Linked DNA regions of Danio rerio. The protein of the gene in region 2 purifies or fractionates together with the protein of the main gene of each other region. This does not show direct contact. Links are inferred from orthologs where the notes say so. Each region holds a gene or a part of one and is shown on either strand. Other genes may lie near its edges. The genes, in order: use1 and scfd1.

Region 1 (10,940 bases), on a different chromosome or scaffold from region 2:
TTTGCATATTTATCTAGCCAAAAATCTTACTTTGGATAAATCTTGGGTTTCTCTACAGTTTAAAAGTGTTTAGTTACTTAATGCGAGTAAACCAATGGTCTTAAAAGAAACAAATTGACTTAAAAATAAAGTAACTAAACTCGTTGTAAATGTTAGGTTGACTTACTTTTTCATAATTATGCAGATTTTAGTCACTTTTTTTAAAATGAAGTAAAAAAAATCACTTTTTATAGTGTACTTGATCACTCCATAGTTCAGAAAAAAATGCAAACAGAAAATTAAATACTTTTTTACATTTTTGTAAATATTTGAAGTGTGTTGTAGGTTAGTGCTGCAGAAGTGGAGATTTATTTTGAGAAATAAGCTTTATTGAGGTAAAGTTGGTTTTATTTTTGCACATTCTGACATTCACTATGTTAATATAATTTAAAATTCTAAATAGTAAAATCACATTACCAGCCGATAACGATCAAAAATCATCGACATTGTTCACAATTAATTAAATAGTGCTAATGTTGTTTTGAAGTCAATTTCAGACTGAATATTCAAATTATCATGTCACAAATTGTCACCTTTAAAAAATGAATGAATGTGCGAATATACAACCAACTTTACCCCAATATAAACCTTTACAAAATATCTGTTGTAATTGAAATCTAAAGACACAAATTGATAAAGTGAAGAAAAAGAAACACTTAAATGTGTTTTTCGGATGTTTTCTTTACATATGATTGAAAAAAAAAACCCACAGAAATCTCAATTGACTTTGATTTGAAAAAAAACTGTATGTTTTGTTTTGTTTTTGTCTTTTCAAGTATGTCGGTGCTCTCGAGGAGATGTTTGTCGCCCTCAAAAAAAGTCCCAGGTAATTTTGAGCCATAATGTATTACAAAAAATACATATATTGGGTGAAAACGCCTCAATGTATCAATATTAGCTTGAAAGCTAAAAACAGCTAGCTTAGCAATGTTTCTACAGCAGTTATGAAATGTCTCGTTTGATATGAACTACCACAGACATTGACTTTTATAATAATAATTCATCATTTATTCGTGATGTCTTCCCTCAGCAAACCCACACCGGAAACGCTGACAGACTACAACCGTAAAGTGGATTTCCTCAAGGGGCTTTTAGAGGCAGAGAAACTGGTCTGTTTTTATGTTTGGTTTTTTGGGTTTCCACATATTGATGGAAGCAACTTTTCTTCCTGTGATTTTAACTGTTGATGTTTTGTTTCTGTTTTGTAGCCGTCTCCAGCTGAGAAGTCTTTAGCCAATCAGTTTCTGGCTCCCGGACGAACGCCGACGATCTCCAGTGAGAGAACGCCAGCCAGCAAAACAGTCCACATTCAGAGCAAAGCCAGATGTGCTGGAGAGATGCGGAAAGAGTTGATGAGCAGCGTACGAGAGCTTGATTTCTTTACTATAAATCTGCTTCATTTGGATTTGTTTTATTTATTTTTTTGTTTAAGTTGATTTGTTTTATTTAAAGACTAGATCACTGGTGTAAAATGCAGCTCCTGGAGGGCCGCTGCTCTGCACAGTTTAGTTCCAACCCTGCTTAACAAACTTGTGCCACGGTCACAGTTGAGTTTGTGCTTACAAAATTCTGTAGTACGGCGCTGCGAAAAGGAGTGGAATTAAACAAGATGATTAGACATTTACGAAATCAAGCGATTGGTCCATATTTACGTTTCTATCCAGAGAGGTCATGTTTTAATCATTGATTGGTCTCACGCAATTACGTGATGGGATTTTCGCAGGTCAAAGTTCAACAAGCTTGAACTTTACAACGCAGCGAACTACGAAACTTGTCGCAGGTGCTTGCGTTTCCGTTCTGACGCATTCGGGTGAGTATGACTGAAAATCTATGGGGTGAAAAGTCCAGTGTGACCACGGCTTTACCTGTAGGTTTCAAGCAAGCAGTCAATTAGTTTGATCAGGTGTGTTTAATTAAACTGTGCAGAGCTGCAGTCCTCCAGGAACTGGATTTGATACCTGTGGACTAGATAAAGATCCTTCTAATGTTGTGTTAAAGATCAGCACTATTGTATTAATTCAAATTCTATTTAGTTTTCATTTATTTATTATTTAACTTGAATTCGTTTTTTTATTTTAAGATTTTCTTTTCTTTGTTTAGTCAGTTTTTGTGGTAATTATAAAATTAGTAGCTAAAATAAAATAGTCTTGGAAAAGTCTTGGTATTTTCTATTTAAATTATGTATTACTATATTTTTTATATTTGTATAACATAAATAATATAATATAATATAATATAATATAATATAATATAATAATATAGTGCTTCACAAGCCTAAACAAATGTTAAAAACTTAAAGTTTGTGTATTCAAATATAGAAAGAGATAAGCAAAAATAATATAATAATATATTAAAATATACTTAATTTTAATTTTAGATAAATTATCTGCAAAGAATTTTGTGCATATGTGTTTTTGAAATGTAACTTTTTCTCTATATTTATATATTTATTTATATAATTTTTATTAATTGTATTTTAGTTTTTTCAGTTTTTAGAGATTTTAATAACAAAATAAACATGAGAACTAGGAATGAAACAAAAAATATTTTCACTTTATGTATTTCAGTTAACAGCAAAAGTTTTATATTGAATTCTTTTGGTATATTAATTAATAAAATGTTATCTTTAAGCATAAAACTATCAACAATAGTATTGTTATTGTAGTAAAAATAAAACTATTATATTCTTACTGTTTATATGTATATGTGTGTGTTACAGACACAAATTATTGAGATATTTTTAAATGTAATTTATACTCATTAATTATTCATTTTCTTTTCGGTTTAGTCCCTTTATTAATCTGGGGTCGCCACAGCAGAATGAACCGCCAACTTATCCAGCATATGTTTTACGCTGCTGATGCCCTTCCAGCTGCAACCCAGCTGCTGGATAAGTTGGCGGTTCATTCCGCTATGGTGACCCCAGATTAGTAAAGGGACTAAACCGAAAAGAAAATGAATGAATGAATAATTTATATTTAAGCAGTAATTAAGACAGTTTTTAGTAATAATGTAATGCATTTTTCTTTTTTTAACATTTACTTTTTAAAATATCTTATTTTTTAAATCATATTATTATTATTATTATTATTTCCTTTTTAAATTGTATTAATATTAATAATAATAATGCATATTATTTAAAGGCGCCTTTCATATTATATGTTTATGTTTCCGTATTAGTCATTTTAGTACATTAGGTACATGTGAAACATTTAGATTTACATTTTCAGGTTTAATTTATTTTTACTTTGAGTAACTAAACCATCATCTTCATAACATCATTCATATATAATATTAATTGTAAAAATATATATATTTAGTACTAACCCTTCTATCTTTGTCTTAATAACAGGGTGTGTCAAATTCCGGTAAGCTGTGTCTTGTATTTTAACAAACTCAACATATTTCAGAAACTGATTGACACCTTGATCAATTATCGTCTTTATTCTTCACTTTCAGCTTTACTAGAGAACGACCTCCGACACAGGAAGTAGGTTTCACTTTCTTCAGTTCTCCGTCGAATGAGCTGCTGTTACTGGTTTCTACATCATTCCTGTTTCTCCTCTGTTTTTCAGAAGTCTTCCAGTAGACGAGCGTCAGTCGGCAGCAGAACTGGACCAAATCCTGCAGCATCATCACAACCTGCAGGAGAAACTGGCCGATGACATGCTGAATCTCGCGCGCAACCTCAAGAACAACACACTCGCCGCTCAGAACATCATCAAGCAGGACAACCAGGTGCTGTTTCTTTCTGAAAAAAAGATTTGGAGATGTATAAAATAATTGCATCTACTCACAGCAAATGATGTGGCACATTATAAAAGTGTGCATGTTTTAATTACGACATGCGTCTAGACTTCTCTTTTGTGTTTTTTGGTTCTGTTATAAGAGTAATATTTCAAGATATTTATTTTCATTGCATTTTAAATACAAATGAACACTAATCTCAAATTAATTATTGTCATATATATATATATATATATATATATATATATATACACACACACACACACACACACACACACACACACACAGTTGAAGTCAGAATTATTAAACCTCTTTGATTTATATTCATATTTGCCAAATGATGTTTAACAGAGCAAGGAAATTTTCACAGTATGTCTGATAATATTTTTTCTTCTGGAGAAAGTCTCATTTGTTTTATTTCAGCTAGAATAAAAGCAGTTTTTAATTTTTTTAACATCATTTTAAGGACAAAATTATTAGCCCATTTAAGCTATTGTTTTCGATAATTTACAGAGCAAACTATCGTTAAACAATAACTTGCCTAATTCCCCTAACCTGCCTAGTTAACCTAATTAACCTAGTTAAGCCTTTTAATGTCACTTTAAGCTGTATAGAAGTGTTTTGAAAAATATCTAGTCAAATATTATTTACCGTCTTTATGACAAAGATAAAATAAATCAGTTATTAGAAATGAGTTATTACAACTATTATGTTTAGAAATGTGTTTTAAAAATCTGCTCTTTGTTAAACAGAAATTGGGGAAAAATAAACTGGGGGGGGGGGGTTGTGGCTAATAATTCTGACTTCAGCTGTATATATAATATTACTAGTATTATTAATAATAAATATAAAATATATAAAATAAGCTTATAATAATAAAAATAATAAAATAACAGTATTTAATATTACTATTGTTATTATCATTAATCAGTTGGATGTATTATATTTAATATATTTAATAGAATAATTGTATAATGTGATTGTACCATTACTACCATATAATATAAATTCTTTATTTGTTTATTAGTTTTTGAGAGAAATTTACCACAATAAGCATTAACAGTATGTAGATGCTCAAAGTTAATATAATTAATCATATTGACCAGCTTTTTGCATACTTTATTTGGTGTATTTCTAAAGTGTATATAGTAATTATACTTATAACTGTTGTTATTGTTACTAATTTATTGAAAATTAGATGATATTAGGTTAGAAACTGTTTTTGTATATATAAAAGTGCATGTGTTCATTAGTTTTTAGTGGAATGTAAGCTGCATAAAGAGTACGTTTTTGAATGGCTGGTTTACTTGAGACCACTAGAGGGCAGCAATATGCTAGTGTTTACACTTGCAGATCTTTCAAGTGTCCTCCTGTGGTTTGTTTACATACTTCAAATCCATATCGAAACCAATGTCAGTTTTAATCACTTTATTAGCATATTATGTTAATAAATTGGCTATATTCATAATGTTTTTGTCTAATATATTGGCCTGTTTTAATTTCTTTCTGTTGTTTATGATTTTTGATTCTCTCTGCTTTGCAGACCCTCACACAGTCCATGCGTCAGGCGGACGTGAACTTCGAGAAGCTGAAAACCGAGTCCGAGCGACTGGAGCAACACGCCAAAAAATCCGTCAACTGGTTCCTGTGGCTGATGCTAATAGTTGTTTCTTTCACCTTCATCAGCATGATCCTGTTTATAAGACTGTTCCCGCGGCTCAGATGATGCTAATCCAGTTTAGCAAAACAGCTAGGTTTTATTTATCTATAACAAAAGGTTTACATATATAGACTCCAGCCAAAAGTTATAGAAATGTATGATTGACGGCCTCAGTCATTCCCGCGGAAAATCTACATTACCTGCATGCCATTGTGATGTCATAACGAATTCGCGCCGAATCCCTACTGTCAATAAAGTGATGAGGGAATCCCTTCTTTTGTTCGACCATGTTGATGATGCTCGTTAATAACGGTAAGTTATTGTTATTCCATAACCGCAAACTATTCGTCAACCATTTAATAAACGACTTATCTAACAATAAACGCTGTTAAAATTAAGTTTCAAGTAAACCATGTCTTTTTAAAGACGAGCTTAAATTAAATTACCTCATGAAAATTCTGTTTAATGTAGCCAAATAAAACACTACATATGAGATGCTTAACATGACTTAACGTTTAATTCCGCTTTTTTATGACCTCAGTCAATTGATCCACGTACTGTACTGTACGATGGCTATAAAAATGCACCGAGCTGATTTAAAGTCCGGTCGGCTTGTATCGGTTCAGTGAGGAAATGTTCTGGCAAACAGCAGGAAGTTATTTTGCTTGTCGGACGCACACATGGAGACTGTCTTCTCCACCCAGAGAGTAAATGGCCCGTATTTAGCTGAAGGTTTATTTCTGCGTGTTCTCTTATGGTGGATGAAGTGTTAAGTATTGCTCAGATATGGTGTTTGTGCTACTATTGATGGATGTTAATGTTTGTCTCAAGCGTCCCGTCATTGATTGTTCGTCATGTACTGTTTGCTTTAATTGATTCACATGAGAACAGGCGACACATTGTTTTTTTTTTTTTTGTTTGGTTTTTTTTGTCTTCAATGTGTTCAAATGTAGTGAGACTGAAAAATAGAGACGTGTGTATTGTTTTAATAAAATTATTTGCAGTCAACCATATGGTGTTTAGCTGTTTTTAATCATTTTGACAAATGTGACTGGGTGGGTTACGTTTGCTTATGGGTTTTTATATAGCTACAGTTGAAGTTAGAATTATTATTAAAATTTTTTTTTCTTTTTTTAATATTTCCCAAATGATGTTTAACAGAGAAAGGACATTTTCACAGTGTGTCTGAAAATATTTTTGTCTTCTGGAGAAAGTCTTATTTGTTAATTTCGGCTAGAATAAAAGCAGTTTTGATTTTTTAAAAACTATTTTAATGTCAAAATTATTAATGTTAACCCCATATATTATTTCAAAAGTCTACAGAACAAACTATCAATAAAACAAACCATCATACAATAATTTGCCTAATTACCCTAACCTATCCTACCCTAAAATAATTCAGGGGGACTAATAATTCTGACTTCAGCCGTATATAGAAAAGAAGGTTTTATATGTTAAGACTAAACATTTTGTATCTATCATTAATTCTATTTTAAGAGCTCCCATCATGCAAAATCAACTTGTTTGAAGCTGGTTGGTTGTAAATGTGTGTACAGAGTATCCGCAGGTCTTAAAATGTCTTACATCTCAAAACTAAATTTTTGGTCTTAAAAAGTCTTCAATCTACTGAAATGTTGTGTTGTAAGTCCTAAATCTTTTTCAACAGATTTTGATTTTCCTGTTATTTTTTCTTTATTTTAATATTATTGTAGACAGAAGTAATTTACAGCTTTGTTTTGTTCTATTCTTGGTAAGGGTTATAGGGTTTGTAAATGGATATATTTGAAGACTAATAAAAACAAATTTATTTGTTCAACAAATATAAAAAATAAATAAATAAAAAATAAAAACTAATAATAATAATTTTTTAAATATTTTCACTACATTTGAAATATTTTTTTTAAAAATTGAATAAAGCTAAAATAATTGTATCATTAAATGTGTTGAAATGTAATAATTTTTGATGGGGCAAGTGAAAATATTTTTAACTGGCATATGCGGAAAAAAATAAATCCTTAGCATTTAGCCCTGTACCGTATCAGTCTAAAATTTCATTCATAATAATGTTAAAATGTCTTGAGTCTTAAATCTACTGAAATGTTGTGTTGTAGGTTTTAAATCTTTTTTTCTTAAATTTTTTCTCTCTCTATTTTATTATTATTGTAGACTGACGTAATTGACAGCTTTGTTTTGTTCTATTCTTTGTAAGGATTATAGGGTTTGTGAATGGATATATCTGAATATTAGTAAAAAAAAAAAAAATCTAAAAATATTATTGAAAAAACTAAATTATCATTGTATCTTTAAATGTATTACATTTGAATAATTTTTAATAGGTCAGGTGAAAATATTTTCTAACTTGGATATTCAACAGCGTTCAGCCCAGTATAAGTCTAAAATTTCATTCATAATGGTCTTAAAAATGTCTTAAAGTCTTAGTAAAACCTACAGAAACCCTGGTATAGTGTGTCCACAGTCACTGGAGGGATATAAACACAACCAGTCTATTTCTTTTTTTTCCATTTCGTGATGTTAAAATAGAATACAAGTCCCAGCTATTTTGAAGCCCACTGCACTGTGAAGTAGCAGTGCAGTTTTTCCTGCCACCGATATTCATTGACAGGCTTATATTTGCATGTCTCAGTCTACAAGACAGGATTTGCAAAGAAACTGGGTTTCAAAGATCTGTTCCAACTCTGTGATTCAACTGCACTTCAAAAAGCAGTAAGTGCTACACTTTGTATTTTTTTAAATAGCAATTTGAACTACACTGTTTGAGTTACATAATTTATTACTGCTGGAATCTCCACAGCTGCATTCTACAGACCAGTGTCTCCAACCTTAAGGGTCAATGCGGACTGGTCAGCTCTTGACAATTTAATGGCAATGATGACAAGCTGACAAAACATTGCTGCCACTCTGATACAAGTTGGAGATGTGCATATTCCATAAGTAAAATAAAGCTGATCGGTCAGTTCTTGTCACAATGCGCTTGTGGTATTCTGTAGATGTTTTCAAATGGGTGCATCTGGAAGCCATCTCCAGCAGTCGATCTTCTTGCACAGACATGCTGGATTCATGTGATTCGTTGACAAATGGGTTGGGGATTCTATTCCTTGGCAGTTCGTAGGTCCTTCACTGGGCCTTTCCCCTTCCCAAATAAACTTTCCAAAGACGACTATTTCTTACTCATTTAGCTGCTTGTGGGTGACGGAAATGCAACCAAGAGCATACAGTCATTTTTTAAAATAAAGATTTTTCAAAATTAAAGATTGTTCAGAACCAGAAATTAAGTAAAATGAAAATAGTTAATAATTTCTTGTGTGGTCCGGTACTGGTCTGCATCCTGGGGGTTGGGGACCACTTGTACAGACAACTGTAAACGAGGATGCTTCAATCACATAACAGGAGTCCCGGTTTGTGGGTGTTAAATTGGGTTGATTTGTACAGCAGCTTTGCTATAAAGGATCTCTGTGCAGCACCATATTTACTCGTTTGGTGGGCATCCTGTCACATTTGCAATGAGTAGATGAGCAAAAACAGCACAATGTGTTAAACACAAGTGTGTGTGTGTGCAGAACATTGTAACTCATTTGTGTGTGGCTCATTCATCATTGCAACTAGGAAGGCTGAATAAACTCCACAGCAGCTACATAAAATAAGCATTGGGAAACTTTCTGGTTCAGGCTCCCTGTGGTGTTTGTGACTGGGTCTCTGCTTCATTGTGTCTGTCATTTTTCTGGTTTGTCCTGACATCTGACCCAGATTATTCTTTTTTTAAAGCTAAATGTCTAAAGAGTGGACGGGGAGAACCAACTCATTGTGATTTAAAGGCACCAAGCTACAATTCCCTCTGACCCCAAATTTGACATTTTTAACAGAATTTAATAATTGATCTAGTGGGTATTTTGACTTGAAACTTTACAGACACATTCTGGAGACATAATAGATTTCTGTTACATCTTGTAAAAGGCCCAAAATTGGAGTCCTTAAAATTGTTTAAAAAAACAATAGACAAATTACTGCAGCGAGGTTGCAGAAAAAAATGGGAGTGCTAGCATTTACAGCGAGGGAAGGACATGCGATACGGCACAGAGTTTGTTGTTGTCTTGGAAATAAATGTTATTGATTATATATTTTATATATTATTTACTTAATGCTTTCAGCATTTTATAACAGCTCGTCACCCAGTGATAAGCACAGTGGTTCGGCAAAATTAACGTCAAAATGAGCGGCATTCATCTGACAGGTTCATTTGCGATAGCACGCTCCCAATGAATGTTGAATAAGACGAAATGATCAAGCATCCAGCCCGAAATATACAACTATCACTTTGAAACTCCAAGTGATTTTACAGAAGGGAAGTTAAAGGCCTACAAGTCTTTGGATGCCAACAATGTTGTTCATGTGCAAGAAATAATGTTCCATAATTACTAGATTCAAAACTTTGGCAAGGTAAGAAGACGGAACTGTACAAGGCCTGGGCAATCATCAACAAGCAAAACAACTGCATTCTGACAGTGAACTCCACCGGTACGGCAGGGTATGTAAACGTACATTTTTACATTTCATTCTAAGCATTCAGTATCTGCAGTTTAATTCACCATATTTAACTGTTTTTGCTGAAATCATTGCCATAATCAAAAACAAGTAATGTGTATGATTCAGCATAGCGTGAACTTACCTGATATAAAATGAGAACTGCAGAGTCCAGCATTTTTAATTAGGTCCTCACTCCATTCAGCTCCCTTTTAGCCAAAAAACGTCTGCGGTTGGCATTAAAAGCAGTGTGGTGTACGGTAAAAGTTACGTTTTTTAGTTTTGGACTTTCGATTTTGGCATCCTACCACACAAGACAACATGTTTGCTATTGCAACCAGTCTTTTTTTGCAACCGGGAACTCGTGTGACATCAGTTATGAGGTTGGTTATTCCTCTATTGAGAAAATTAGACCAAATGGGAACCTTTTGGTAGAACATTCTGTACGAGCTGTTTCCCAGGAAGAATTTTTTTGTTAAAAAAAAAAAAGATGTCTAATAGACGTCTAAACATAGTCGTCTTAGCTAAAACAAAGCTAAATTTGGTCTGTCAGTGAAAATCTAATAGAAGCTAAGAATAGGCCTAGACTGGTCACATATAAATATAGACTACTTGACTACACATATAAAGTCTGTCTATTTGACCACTAGTCTAGTTTTGGGCTATTCTTAAATGTCTATTAGATTTTCACTGATTTAGCCTTGTTTTAGCCAAGTGTCTACAATTAGATGTCTATTAGACGTCTATTAAACACAAAATTGTTTGCTTGGTTCATACATCTTAACATTTGCCCTACAAATTTATACAATATTTTATTATTTTTCTACTGAATTACTTTAGGCTAAACCAGTAGGCAGAGTTTAATAGTGTGTAACCTCACATTGTTGTTGTTTCATAAATTAGCTGTGCTGAATACTGTAATATCGTAACAACATGTCTGACTATAAATAAACGG
Region 2 (12,184 bases):
CTTATAACCACTTTTCAACCGGAAATACTGGCAAGATTTTAACTTAAAGCATATTTACTAAACATTAATATGAGAAATTAATCAAAAACTAAAACATTATTTATATACTGAATAAAAATCTTTCAAATCTAGCTAATTAAGCAGATTGGCGCCTATACAGCAGCAGAAATAATGGTCAAGCCTTGGTTACTGCAGTAAACAAAGCAGCATGATGTCAAATCTATAGGATTTCCTAGCTTTAATAAATACACACCATTCTGATATTCACAGATTTAATTCAGGCAAACCTTAGCATAAGACTATACATCACAAATCACAATCAAAAATGATATCAAATTTAATATCTTCAAAATAGCATTTAAGCCTTTTTTTAATACTTTTTAAATGCCTTAAATTTCTCTACATTGATTTATCAACTTTTAATACTTTTTAAAACCCTGCGGACACCCTGTTACTCCACCTGAACTGGCCAGTGCCCATGGTGTCTCCGGTGAACAGGCTGTTACGAGCGTCTCTCAAATTCTCTCTCAGTTTCTTGTCAAGTTTCTGAGGGTAAAAAGTGTCAAAGTGTCAAATCAACATTACTAATATTTGCAGCAGAAATTAGTTGTTCGATATGTATAAAATAATCTAATAAACGGAGCAACGGGTGTTCATTTTGTCTCAAATTACAGCAAGACATTCTTTTGCTGAAAGGAATCATCTAAAAGCTCCAGTGTAAGCGAGATGAGACTGGACTGAATCTCACATATGGAACAAAGAGGAATTCTGTACCATCAGTGAAAATGAATTACGCCATGATATCAGTTTGCACATGCACACAGAGAACAAAATCCATTGTAACACAAAGATTATTTAGGTGATCGTCACAAGACCATTCATGACCAGTAAAAAACTCTGTTTCTTAATTCATAAACTCTTATTTAACAAAGAAAAACAAGGGTGTCTCAGACTGTTCATTAAAAAAACAAAAAACTGAAACAAAAATAGAGTAAGGGCTCTCTTACCACTGCTACCATTTCGGCAGCATTCCCTCTTGGACATCGAATTATTGGGACAGCACCTACGATAACAGGAAAGCTCATTGTACTGCCAACAGGAGGGTGAACTGAATATCTGCTCACAGGCTCCCAAGACACACAAAATCACATTTCAAAAACAACAATACGGGCTTGATCGCTGCACTAAATTTGAATGGTTACGTTACTGTCATATATAATTGTAGAATGTAATAATTAAAGAGTGGATCAGTTCAATGCATCTACATTTTTTTGGTCTTCTGAGCAATGTACAGAACAATATTTAGAAAGGTTCTGCCACCCAGTGGAACTTTCTGACAGTTAAACTAATAGCTGTAATGTGAGCTTGATGCTAAAAATATGACTGCTTTTTTTATTTTGATAAAATATGAAGTCTTTTTAAATTCACATTAGTCAAAATTAGACAGACAGAGACAGCAACTGGGAGTCCTGTTTGCAATCATCAATTATTATTCTTTCATGATTTCATAATACAGGCACAAAATTGTTTAAAATATGTGCTTTTAACTTGATATTGGTTATTTAAAGTGCAAAATACATTTTAAAAGTGTAGGTAAGTTTAATGAAAATATTCTATTTGAAAAAAAAAGGATGACTTAAATTGATCAAAAGTGATAGTAAACAATATTCAGAGCATGCAAATGTTGTATTTAAAATAATGCTGTTCTTTAAAAGGCACCTATTTAACCCCTTTTTCAACATTTAAGATAAGTCTGTCTCTAGAATGTGTCTGTAAAGTTTCAGCTCAAAACACCCATCAGATTATTTATTATACATTTTCATTATAGGTGCCCTGTAAACAGCTTTCAACATAATAAAAATAACAATAATAATAATAATAAGTGTGGTTGTCTCACAACAAGGACGTTGCTGGTTCGTGCCTTAGTTGGCGTTTCTGTGTAGAGTTTGCATGTTTTTCCCACGTTTGCGTGGGTTTCCTCTGGGTGCCAAGTCCAAAAGACATGCGATACAGGTAAATTGAGCTAAATTTGTCCGTAGTGTATGTGTATGGATGGGTGTATATGGGTGTTTCCCAGTGATGGGTTGCATGTGGAAGGGCATCCATTGCGTGAAAAATATGCTGGATAAGTTGGCGGTTAATTCCGCTGTGGCCCAGGTTAATAAAGGAACTAAGCCGAAAAGAAAATGAATGATTGAATAAGAAGTGTTTCCTTAACATCAAATCAGCATACTAGAAAGAATTCTGGATCATGCCATGTGATAATCTGAAGTAATGATGTTGAAAATGCCATTATAGGAATAAATACATTTTAAAATGCATTAAAAGCATGGTTCACCCAGAAATTTTTATTCTGTCATCATTTACTAACCCCTCCACTTGGTCCAAACAAATCTGAGTTTCTTTCTTCTTATAAAGAGAAAAGAAGATATTTTGAAAAAAAAAAATCTGACTTGCATACTATTTTCTTCTTACTATGGATGTCAAAGCTTATCACCGTTGAACAACATTCAAAACATCTTCTTTGTGTTCAGTGAAAAAAGAAACTCAAAAATGGTTGGAACAACATAAGCCAGTATAAATGGTACGTAAATCTTGATTTTTGGGTGAACTATGCCTTTAAATTAGACAGCTGTTTTAAACTGTTATGAAACCCACAATATGAATTAAACTTAAATAATTAAATGGTGAGCGTAGGAGACATTTTAAACATGCATAAAAACCCTTAACAAACCCCCAAACTTCTGAATGGGAGTGCATATGCATGATAGGATACAACAAATTAATATCCTTATTTACCAAGAGTAACAAAGAAGCAGAAGAGACTATCCACTATTGTGTCCATTATACCCTCCATGTCTGTGTCCATGATATCTGGCTTATTGATTGCTGAGGAAACAGAACAAGACAACTATTAATAACTCTGGATTATATTTAAAAATAAATTAATTAATATTTCAAGTGGGTTTAACAGCTTACCATGGTAGGAGATGTGCTCTTTGTTTTGATTACAGAGAATGAACATATCATCCTCAAGTGTGATGAAGTTCAAATACTGATCAAATACCTGAGGAGGAACAGAACAGTCTAACATTTAAGCTGAAATAAATATGAGCAGCATGTTATTTGGCTTTCTGCATGACTTCACTGAGCTCGAGCTCTAGCAAAAGCACAACAGACACTCACTGTGAACAAACATGTCGGACTTACTTTGGTCACCTGGTTTACTGCATTAGCCGCAAGCGCAGCACTTGCTATATCCTCCAATTTGCTTCTGGAAATTGCGGAGATGAAGTTCAAATAGTAGGACTCATATAGTTGGTTTCGGAGGTCCTGTGATGGAGCATATAAATGTTCTGAAATTATTCAAACAAATTATCTTTGAATGGGACTGACCAAAACAAGCATATTTACTTGACATATCCTGTCGATGTTCTCCTCTGTGGGCATTATAAAGTAAATGGCAGGAACGTCTGGAATGGGGTCGCGATCTGAGTGCAACAAGCTAGAGAGAAACAAACAATTGTGAACGATCATTTCGATTAGTATTATGAAACAGCTGACTGGATGTTTTAGAGGTGCTCACAGGTGCAGAGTGATGCCCATGTCTCGTAGCTCTTTCACAGACAGAAGCGGAGATATAATGTCTTGGCCAAAGCGATCGTAAATAAGAACCTAACAAGAATAGCAATGTGTGAGCCAAAAAAGCATCACTGAAGCACATTTAAAAAGGGGAAACTTCTAGGTTTGTCTCTTACCTTCCATACTGGCTCAGCTGTTGTGTTTTTAAGGGGTGGGGCATTAAAGTTGAGCATTCGTTTGAGAGCAGCTGAGAAGAGAAATAGCAACGACATATATTAGCAATTCTTAACAACAGTTAACATGCAAGATTTGACAGTGTCAATGTTTATAAATCTTAGAAAAAAAACAACAACCACAGCAAACTCTTCATATTTAGTTCATGTTAACTCAGTTTTCAGTTGTTTATTCATTCATTCATTTTCTTTTCGGCTTAATCCCTTTATTAATCTGGGGTCTCCACAGCGGAATGAACCGCCAACTTATCCAGCATTTGTTTTATGCAACGATTGCTCTTCCAGCTGTAACCCATCTCTGGGAAACATCCGTATACACTGATTCACACTCATACACTATGGACAATTCAGCCCACCCAATTCACCTGTACTGCATGTCTTTGGACTGAGGGGAAACAGGAGCACCCGGAGGAAACCCATGCAAACGCAGGGAGAACATGCAAACTCCACACAGAAACGCCAACTGACCCAGCAGAGGCTTGAACCAGCGACCTTCTTGGTGCGAGGCAACAGCACTACCAACTGTGCCACTGCGTCGCCCCAGTTTTCAGTTGTATTTATTAATGATATATTATTAACAGAAAAAGATATTTAAAAAAAAATAGGACCAATTCTCACTATTAACTAGTGCCTTTTTTAGCTGCCTATTATTAAGATGCTGGCTGTTAATCTGTACTTATAAAGTATATAATCTGCATAGAGATGGCACGATAATCTTTTTCAAGGTTTACCACGGTTTGGAAAAGTCAGGTTTTAAAAACGTCAACATTTTCAGTTAAACCGTTCCCACGGTATTTGTAAGATTTTCTTTTGTAAATTTTTATTTTTTGTTTGTTTTTAAGGACAACAGTATCTCCGGCGGAAAAGATATCCAAGATGCACTTTTTAAATGTAAAGAAATCAGTGTAAGCTAATGAAGGCAGCAGAAGTTAACAATTCATTTTCATTATTTAGCCTGACATATTTACTGCTCCAAAATATTTTAAATGTTTCTCAAAATAAAATATATTGTGTTCAAATTTAAAAGGCAAAAGTTTTTTTTTTTACCCAGACATTAAAAAAGAGCATATTTATGGCAGTGAACATAATACTGAGAAATTGTGTAACCTTGATAATTTTATCTAAGGTTATCATACTGTCAAAATCTTATACCAGCCCATGCCTAATTCTGCATAATGATATTATACAGTATATACCTAATCCTACCCAATACATAAAACTAACTACTACCTTAATAACTATTAACAAGGAGCAAATAAGGTGTTTACTGAGGTAAAAGTCAATGGTTCAGTAAAAGTGAGACTTGTACGTTGAAATAAAGTGTGTTATTGTTGAAAGTAACTCATACAAAAGGCTGTAAACCAATGTAGTTAACTTTTTATTCATTCATCTTCTTGTCGGCTTAGTCCCTTTATTAATCCTGGGTCTCCACAGTGGAATGAACCGCCAACTTATCCAGCAAGTTTTTACGCAGCGGATGCCCTTCCAGCCGCAACCCATTTCTGGGAAACATCCACACACTCATACACTACGGACAATTTAGCCTACCCAATTCGCCTGTACCGCATGTGTTTGGACTGTGGGGGAAACCGGAGCACCCGGAGGAAACCCACGCGAAGGCAGGGAGAACATGCAAACTCCACACAGAAACAACGACCTTCTTGCTGTGAGGCGACAGCAATACCTACTGCGCCACTACCTCGCCCCCTGTAGTTAACTTATGTTAACAAATAGAACCTTACATTTACTTAATTTTGCTTCAAAGATTTGTGTGTGCAGTGCACATATATATTTTAACTAATAAATAAATAATGAACAAATAAACGATTAGATAAGGGGTCACCAATCTCGGTCCTGAAGGGCCGGTGTCCCTGCAGGGTTTAGCTCCATCTTGCTTCAACACACCTGCCTGGGTGTTTCAAGTATACCTTGTCAAACCTTGATTAGCTTGTTCAGGTGTGTTTGATTAGGGTTAGAGCTAAAATCTGCAGGACACCGGACCTTCAGGAACAAGTTTGGTGACCCCTGGATTAGATAAACAAACCAAATCACAAAATCCTTCTTGCTTCTGAAATTTTTAACAACCAAAGCATAGATTCTCCCCTAATTTGAAATGATGCATTTTATCCAATGTTCATTAGTTCTGATTTGTAAGCGCTCATTTCTGTTAGAACCCAACTGACCCTTGATCTAATTCTCGATTTGATTTAATAAATGTAGATTTAATAAAATGCAATTGACATTTGTGAAATGAAAAGCAAACATCAGTTCTTAAATGTTCAATTGACAAAAAGAAATTAAGAGCTTGAACATTAAATCAGAACCCATACTCATAGAGGTAAAGTTGGTTTTATATCTGCACATTCGTTCATTTAGAAGACTCTATATTGTTTACCATGTTACTTTGAATATTCTATTGAAATTAGCATGCAAGTATGACTTCTCAACAACATTAACACTGTTTATTTGACTGTGAACAATGTTGTACTTTGATAGTCATTGGCTGCTAATAGGATTTCGCTATTTAGAGTTTGCAAATAATACTTTTATGAAATTATATTATTAAGAGGAAAGTCCGAAAACCAACGTTATCTCTATCCCATACTTAAATGCATACAACAACATCAAATTATAGGTTATGGTTATATCATGTCATTTGTGTATCTCTGACTTAAAAAAAAAGAAGAAAAAAAGAAAACCGGAAAAATAGAGAATCAATATTTAAATGACCAAATAATAACAAAGGTATTTTTGTCCATCCCAATAAAGATTTGTTAGGACAAATAACTATATTAAATATATTATCCACTAACGATAAATTATCCACAATACACGTATATTAATGTGATATTGCACCGCATATAGAATTAGTTAAAATAAATTAAGTATAAATAAATTAAAATATCGTACGTAACCTTCCCTTCAACACTGTAACGTTACCCAATAATTATCATAAATATATTGTACCTAACGTTAAGTATTGATCTGAATAATGTTCGTGATTTTAGCTAGCTTGCTAAATCAGATCAATTTATTTTCATGACAGGACTCACGGGTAATAATAGTCGTATACATTTCGTATATTTTTAAAGTACAAGTGTTTCTTTATGCACTCATGTAGGTTAATCTTTCATTCATCTCATATTAAGTAGCTGCTTTATGAACATCACGGTTAGCATCCTCAGCTACACTGACAGGACTGTACTACTTCTGTTTTTTTGCATTCAGCATTATTGTCTGTATTTTTAATTGACAGAGTTTAAAATCGTGTGAAAATGACTAGTATTAATAATATTGCCAGCATTGAGTGTTTGTGTATAAATAAAAACTTTAGAACAGACCTGTCTGTTTTTCCCGGATGGACGCCGCCATCTTTACTGTTTATGCAGTGACGACTGCGAGGGTGACGTGGCAACCGGCGAGCCGCTGTCTGTCAGCGTACAAGAACTCACACCACTGGAGATCCTCAGTAAACAGATCAAGGAGGGCTTATCAGATGATTTTAAATAATTTATATTTTGATTTTTAATTTAGTTTCTCTAGACAGAATATATGCATTATAAAATTATGAAAAGCATTTTTTTTACCAGGCTCAAAAATATTAAAGTTAAATTAACATTTTTCTCTTTTGTTCAATTATTTATCAGAAGAAAACAATCACTTTCTTTTAAGTTATTGACAGGCACATTTCAGTGTTATCATTTGCCTTGTTTTATGGATTTCAAGACCTAAGGGCTTTATAGAATTGTATTGTTTTATCCTTATTTGAGTCTATGAAAATAAAAAGTAAAAGTATTATAACATTTAAACTGTGATGATCCAAATTGGGATACAATTCAAATATTGCATGATCATATTTTTTTTCAATATGATTAGCCCTAATTTGTCAATCTATTCATCCGTTTATCCATCCCACCATGTATGAATTTGTCTATATATCTGCCTATATATTCATTTTTTGTCTATCCCTGTATCAACTTGTCTATATATCTGGTTATCTATTCATCCTATTGTCTACCAATCTATCCAGTTTGTCTATTTACATATCTGTTCATCCATCCATCAATGTCAATCAAGTCTATCAATTCATCCATCAGTTTGTCTATCTGCATATTCACCCTTTGGTCTGTCTATCTATCATCTTACATCTAAGAAAAAGTACAAATGATTAAAAAATATGAAAAAAATGATATAGCTAATTTGGACCAAAGCAAAATGAGGTTATTAATAGTATAAAAGTTAAAAAGATTATTTTTTTAGACAATTCTAGAAAAATCACAAAAAATCTGTCAGTTTGCCCATCTGACAATATACAGTAGTCAACATTTTAAGTGGACCAAAACCTCTAATCAAAGTTCTCCTTAAGCTAGTGAACAACTTAATCACTTAAAACAATTCTAACAAACCTTCCTCCACTTCAAATGTTGACTACACTGTATTCATCAGTCTGTCTATCCAGTTATCTATCCCTTTATCTGTCTTACATTGATCAATGCATCTATTTGTTTGTCTTTGGCTAGAGTCTGTTTATATTGTCCAGTCCTTAATCCATAAAGTCATTTATGGATGAATGGCAATCTAGACAGACTTCAGTCAAACAGATGGATGCATAGATAGTCTATCTAATTGCTCTGACTAAAAATGTATATCAGTGTTTTGTTGATGTGATGGACGTGTGCATATTATTTGATAGGTGATTTTAAGACTGATTGAAAAAAACCTTCAGGTAAGTACATTATAAATCCATTCATTATTTAATAAAAGTAAACACAGTAAAAGAAAGTTAAAACAAATAAGTTATAGCAGTTATCGAGTTGTCAAGATATCAAACAAAGACATCAGGAGAAATAAAACTGTACAAGAACAAAGACATACCTGCTTAAATGTGATTCTAATGGAAATGACAAGCAAAGCAGACCAATTCATTCAGTAACTACTTCATTTGTAGTGACGGCATTTTGCCATTAGCAGTGTGGCAAAAATCTTGCAATTGCTCCATCTTGTGGCTACCAGAAAATTATAAGCGCGTCAATTTAAGCTTTGCAGTTTTTTTTTTTATAAGAAAAATCAAGAACATAAGAACATAACAACTCATTACTACTCAACTACTTTGAGCTTTGGTTTAAAAACCTCTGCACTTCTAAGCTAATAAAATCAACATCTAAGCCATTCAAAGCAACATTTACATTAAGCTATTTACATTTACATGCTCATGACCAGCTTTCCCAATCTCTTCAAGTCTAAATTGATAAGAAAAGCACACATATAATCTTTTTTTAAAAACAAATTTTCCATGAGTCTAAGCTTCTGTAGAAAATATTACCTCAGAGTTTTTCCTCAATAGTTGAGTGGCTCAAATTGTTTTGAGAATTAAATTGGATCAATAACTGAGACCATTTAAACAACACAGAGTTCATCAAGTTCTAAAACCTGCGTTTAACTACTGATAAATAGAGTGAATCATTTACATTAATGCGATTTAAGACTGTTGATATAATACTCGCTAACTGCAAACAAAAAGACTTTTAGCACCATTGTAAATCATTATGTGAATCTACACCATGACTCTACTGAAACATCCAGCTCGGCTTTAAATGTCCTGCATAACTGAGAACTGACACACTGTGTAATCCAAATGTTTCTTGAAGAGCTGGTAAGAGGGTAGAGTAGGCAGAATGAGATGATTGGCATCACAGTTGCTCTGAGGAAAAGCACACAAGTTGTCTGGTGAGCTGAGGAATGAGATGGACGGAGTGGGCTTGAATCCGATGGCTGGAACTAAATCTGTACCAGTGGCAAATGTTAGGAGGTCCTCCAGCGATGCTGCACATTGACCCTCTGAAACACAAGAGAAGGGTTAAAATTATTCAAAATGCATTGATTATTCTCTTCATATTCATCCAAAATGTAACACACAGACCTTCACATTCATGCAGATACTGTTTCCAAAAGCTTATCGTGGTCTTTTCTAGAACTTGTTTTTCTTTTTCTTCTGATAACCGGGTTGTGAAGAGCTCCATGACAGATTCAGCCGTCAGCCTTTCCACAGGTCCACAGAAGACTGGAAAGAACGTCTCTGAGCACATCTGGACCTGCTCGAACATTCCTAGTGTCCTCAAACCTTCACGGAATCTGAGGAAAGAAATATGAGCTTGAATGAACATTTGCTCACAATGAAGAGAAATGAAGGTGCTTTAAAACATTATGTGGATACACTAGAATTAAACAGATTGGGGTAGGTAAAATTAAAGAGCTAATAATTTTATAATAACTAATAATACAAGTTCATGAATACATTTTATTTGAAATAAATGCAACAATTCAAAATAACCGTGTTCTATTTGAAGTTATTTCACATTTTTGTATGATTCTAATGCAAACTTTCTAGCAGTTATTGCTCCACTTAACTGTTCCACTGCCTGCTCTACTTATAGATGATCATATTTTGTCTGTTTTAAATAAAACAGTCCTTTAAAAAGTGACTGTTTTAAATAATAGTTTACACAAACAGCATCGTTGGTTTACCAAAAAAAAAAAACTAGAACAAAAAAAAACAAACAAACAAACAAACATTATTATGTTGCACTACTACACTTGATTTTGGTTTTATTGTAAAAAACAGAAACAAACAGAAAACAAGTTAAACGAGAATCGGCAATATTTTATGGCACACTAAAAAATAAAGTTGATTTAGTATTCAAAAATGTTTTATTATTATTATTTTTTATAAATTGAAATTACACTTCATATTTTTCAGATTTTCATAGCATATGCATCATTTCTACCTCTACCAAATGGTTGATATTTTATAAATTATGGGATGTGCTGAAAAAACAAATGCTTTGAGTGTTAACTACCGCCATTAGGAATTAAGAAATGCAATCCACATTGTTTTTGGTGGGGCAGTTAATGTGATCACAGTTTAGAAATTACTATCGAATTTTTAAACATTTTACTTTGGTTTACCACAATACAAAAATGTTAAGATTCTATACTAATCCAGGTTTCTAATATCTGACAGTATAATGCAAATGCTATTGGTTCTGTGACAAATTACATATTCTAAATGCAAAAACGTAAATGACTTATTAACATTCTATGATGGATGGAAAAAAAACTGTAATCATTTCAATTTTAATTTAAATAAAACATTCTTCATTTTTGTCATTCATATTTAAAGTCACTTTTGATAAGCTTAATGGAAACGTACTAAATAAAATAATGGATTTCTCACTAAATAATAAAAGAGAGATCGTACCAACCAAATTGTTGAACAGTAAAATATGTTCAATTAATGTTATAATTACGGGTCTTAAAGATGTAAAAATGAAATGCGAAAAATTACATATAATAATAAAAAATAAATAAAAAAATAAAAATTCTACAGACACAGACAGACAGACAGACAGACGCACGCACGCACGCACACACACACCTTACAGAAGACAAACAACAAATTATCAATGCAACAATGTTATAAACACAAAATTTTAGTTCATGAATATTTCGAATAAGTGTTGCTTGATAAAATATATTAAACTTTATTTAAAAAGGCACCAATTTTACCCCTTTTACAAAATGTAATATACGCCTTTGGTGTCTTCAGAATGTGTCTGTAAAGTTTCAGTTCAAAATACTCATCAGATAATTTATCATATCGTCCAGAATCTGCCGATTTTGCTGTCTGAGGTTAGTGTAGCTATTTATGTAGCCTGTGGCTTTAAATCCAAATAAGCTGCTTCTCCCCGCCCACTATTTTTATTACCTTTATTACAAACGGGCTCTGCTTTAAAAACATTTTAAACTTATAAAATTAATTGATGTGCAGCTGATCACAGAGAGTTGTAACATGTATCTTTGCAAAAAATGTTCTGTGGACATGTGTATACAAGTTTTTATGGAGACAAGGCACCTGTCTCCATAAACCGCACTCCTACATCTCCTTGCTGTGGGCCTCAAAATTACTGGGATTTGGGTTGATGGACTCGAATTTCTGCCTTTCAATCCATCCCAGCATGGATCAACATTTATCCTTTTTCTCATAACTTTATTAACATGATTATTTAATTCAGTATTTAATCACTAAATGATTTAGACTAATAAATAAAGTTAACACATTGCTTAATATAATATAAGAATGTTCAGTGTATTTGCCTGTCTTTTTGTCTTTCTATTTTAACTCTACTTTCAGGAGCCACCAAACTAGATCAGAGGTCAAGGAAACCTCAAGTGGAACTGAAGGGCTTGATGATTAAAAACAACTGTTTTCCTATTTGGATTGCTATGTGTTACTGTCTAAAGTGAATTTGATATTATTGTTATGTGTATATTCATTTTAAAGTGATTTTTATAGACTTTGTGTTGTAAAA

Evidence for each region.
Region 1: the proteins of scfd1 (region 2) and use1 purify together in Homo sapiens (affinity purification with mass spectrometry; 3 studies listed by BioGRID and IntAct, counting the BioPlex papers as one, with this or other methods). This does not show direct contact. The link is inferred for Danio rerio from reciprocal best matches to the Homo sapiens genes SCFD1 and USE1.

What each region holds. Positions count from the first base shown.
Region 1 is NC_133197.1:10,717,853-10,728,792, reverse strand, and holds the end of use1 (vesicle transport protein USE1), read left to right. Parts: intron 1-815; coding exon 816-865; intron 866-1,069; coding exon 1,070-1,148; intron 1,149-1,247; coding exon 1,248-1,400; intron 1,401-3,391; coding exon 3,392-3,407; intron 3,408-3,498; coding exon 3,499-3,529; intron 3,530-3,614; coding exon 3,615-3,777; intron 3,778-5,329; coding exon 5,330-5,512; 3' UTR 5,513-6,454; downstream 6,455-10,940.
Region 2 is NC_133192.1:30,291,455-30,303,638, forward strand, and holds the start of scfd1 (sec1 family domain-containing protein 1), read right to left. Parts: upstream 7,233-12,184; 5' UTR 7,188-7,232; coding exon 7,157-7,187; intron 3,830-7,156; coding exon 3,759-3,829; intron 3,676-3,758; coding exon 3,587-3,675; intron 3,506-3,586; coding exon 3,415-3,505; intron 3,334-3,414; coding exon 3,211-3,333; intron 3,068-3,210; coding exon 2,980-3,067; intron 2,890-2,979; coding exon 2,800-2,889; intron 1,064-2,799; coding exon 1,008-1,063; intron 547-1,007; coding exon 461-546; intron 1-460. Other genes in the region: g2e3 (G2/M phase-specific E3 ubiquitin-protein ligase), read right to left, coding at 9,406-9,653, 9,736-9,947. UniProt on the Homo sapiens protein: Plays a role in SNARE-pin assembly and Golgi-to-ER retrograde transport via its interaction with COG4. Involved in vesicular transport between the endoplasmic reticulum and the Golgi.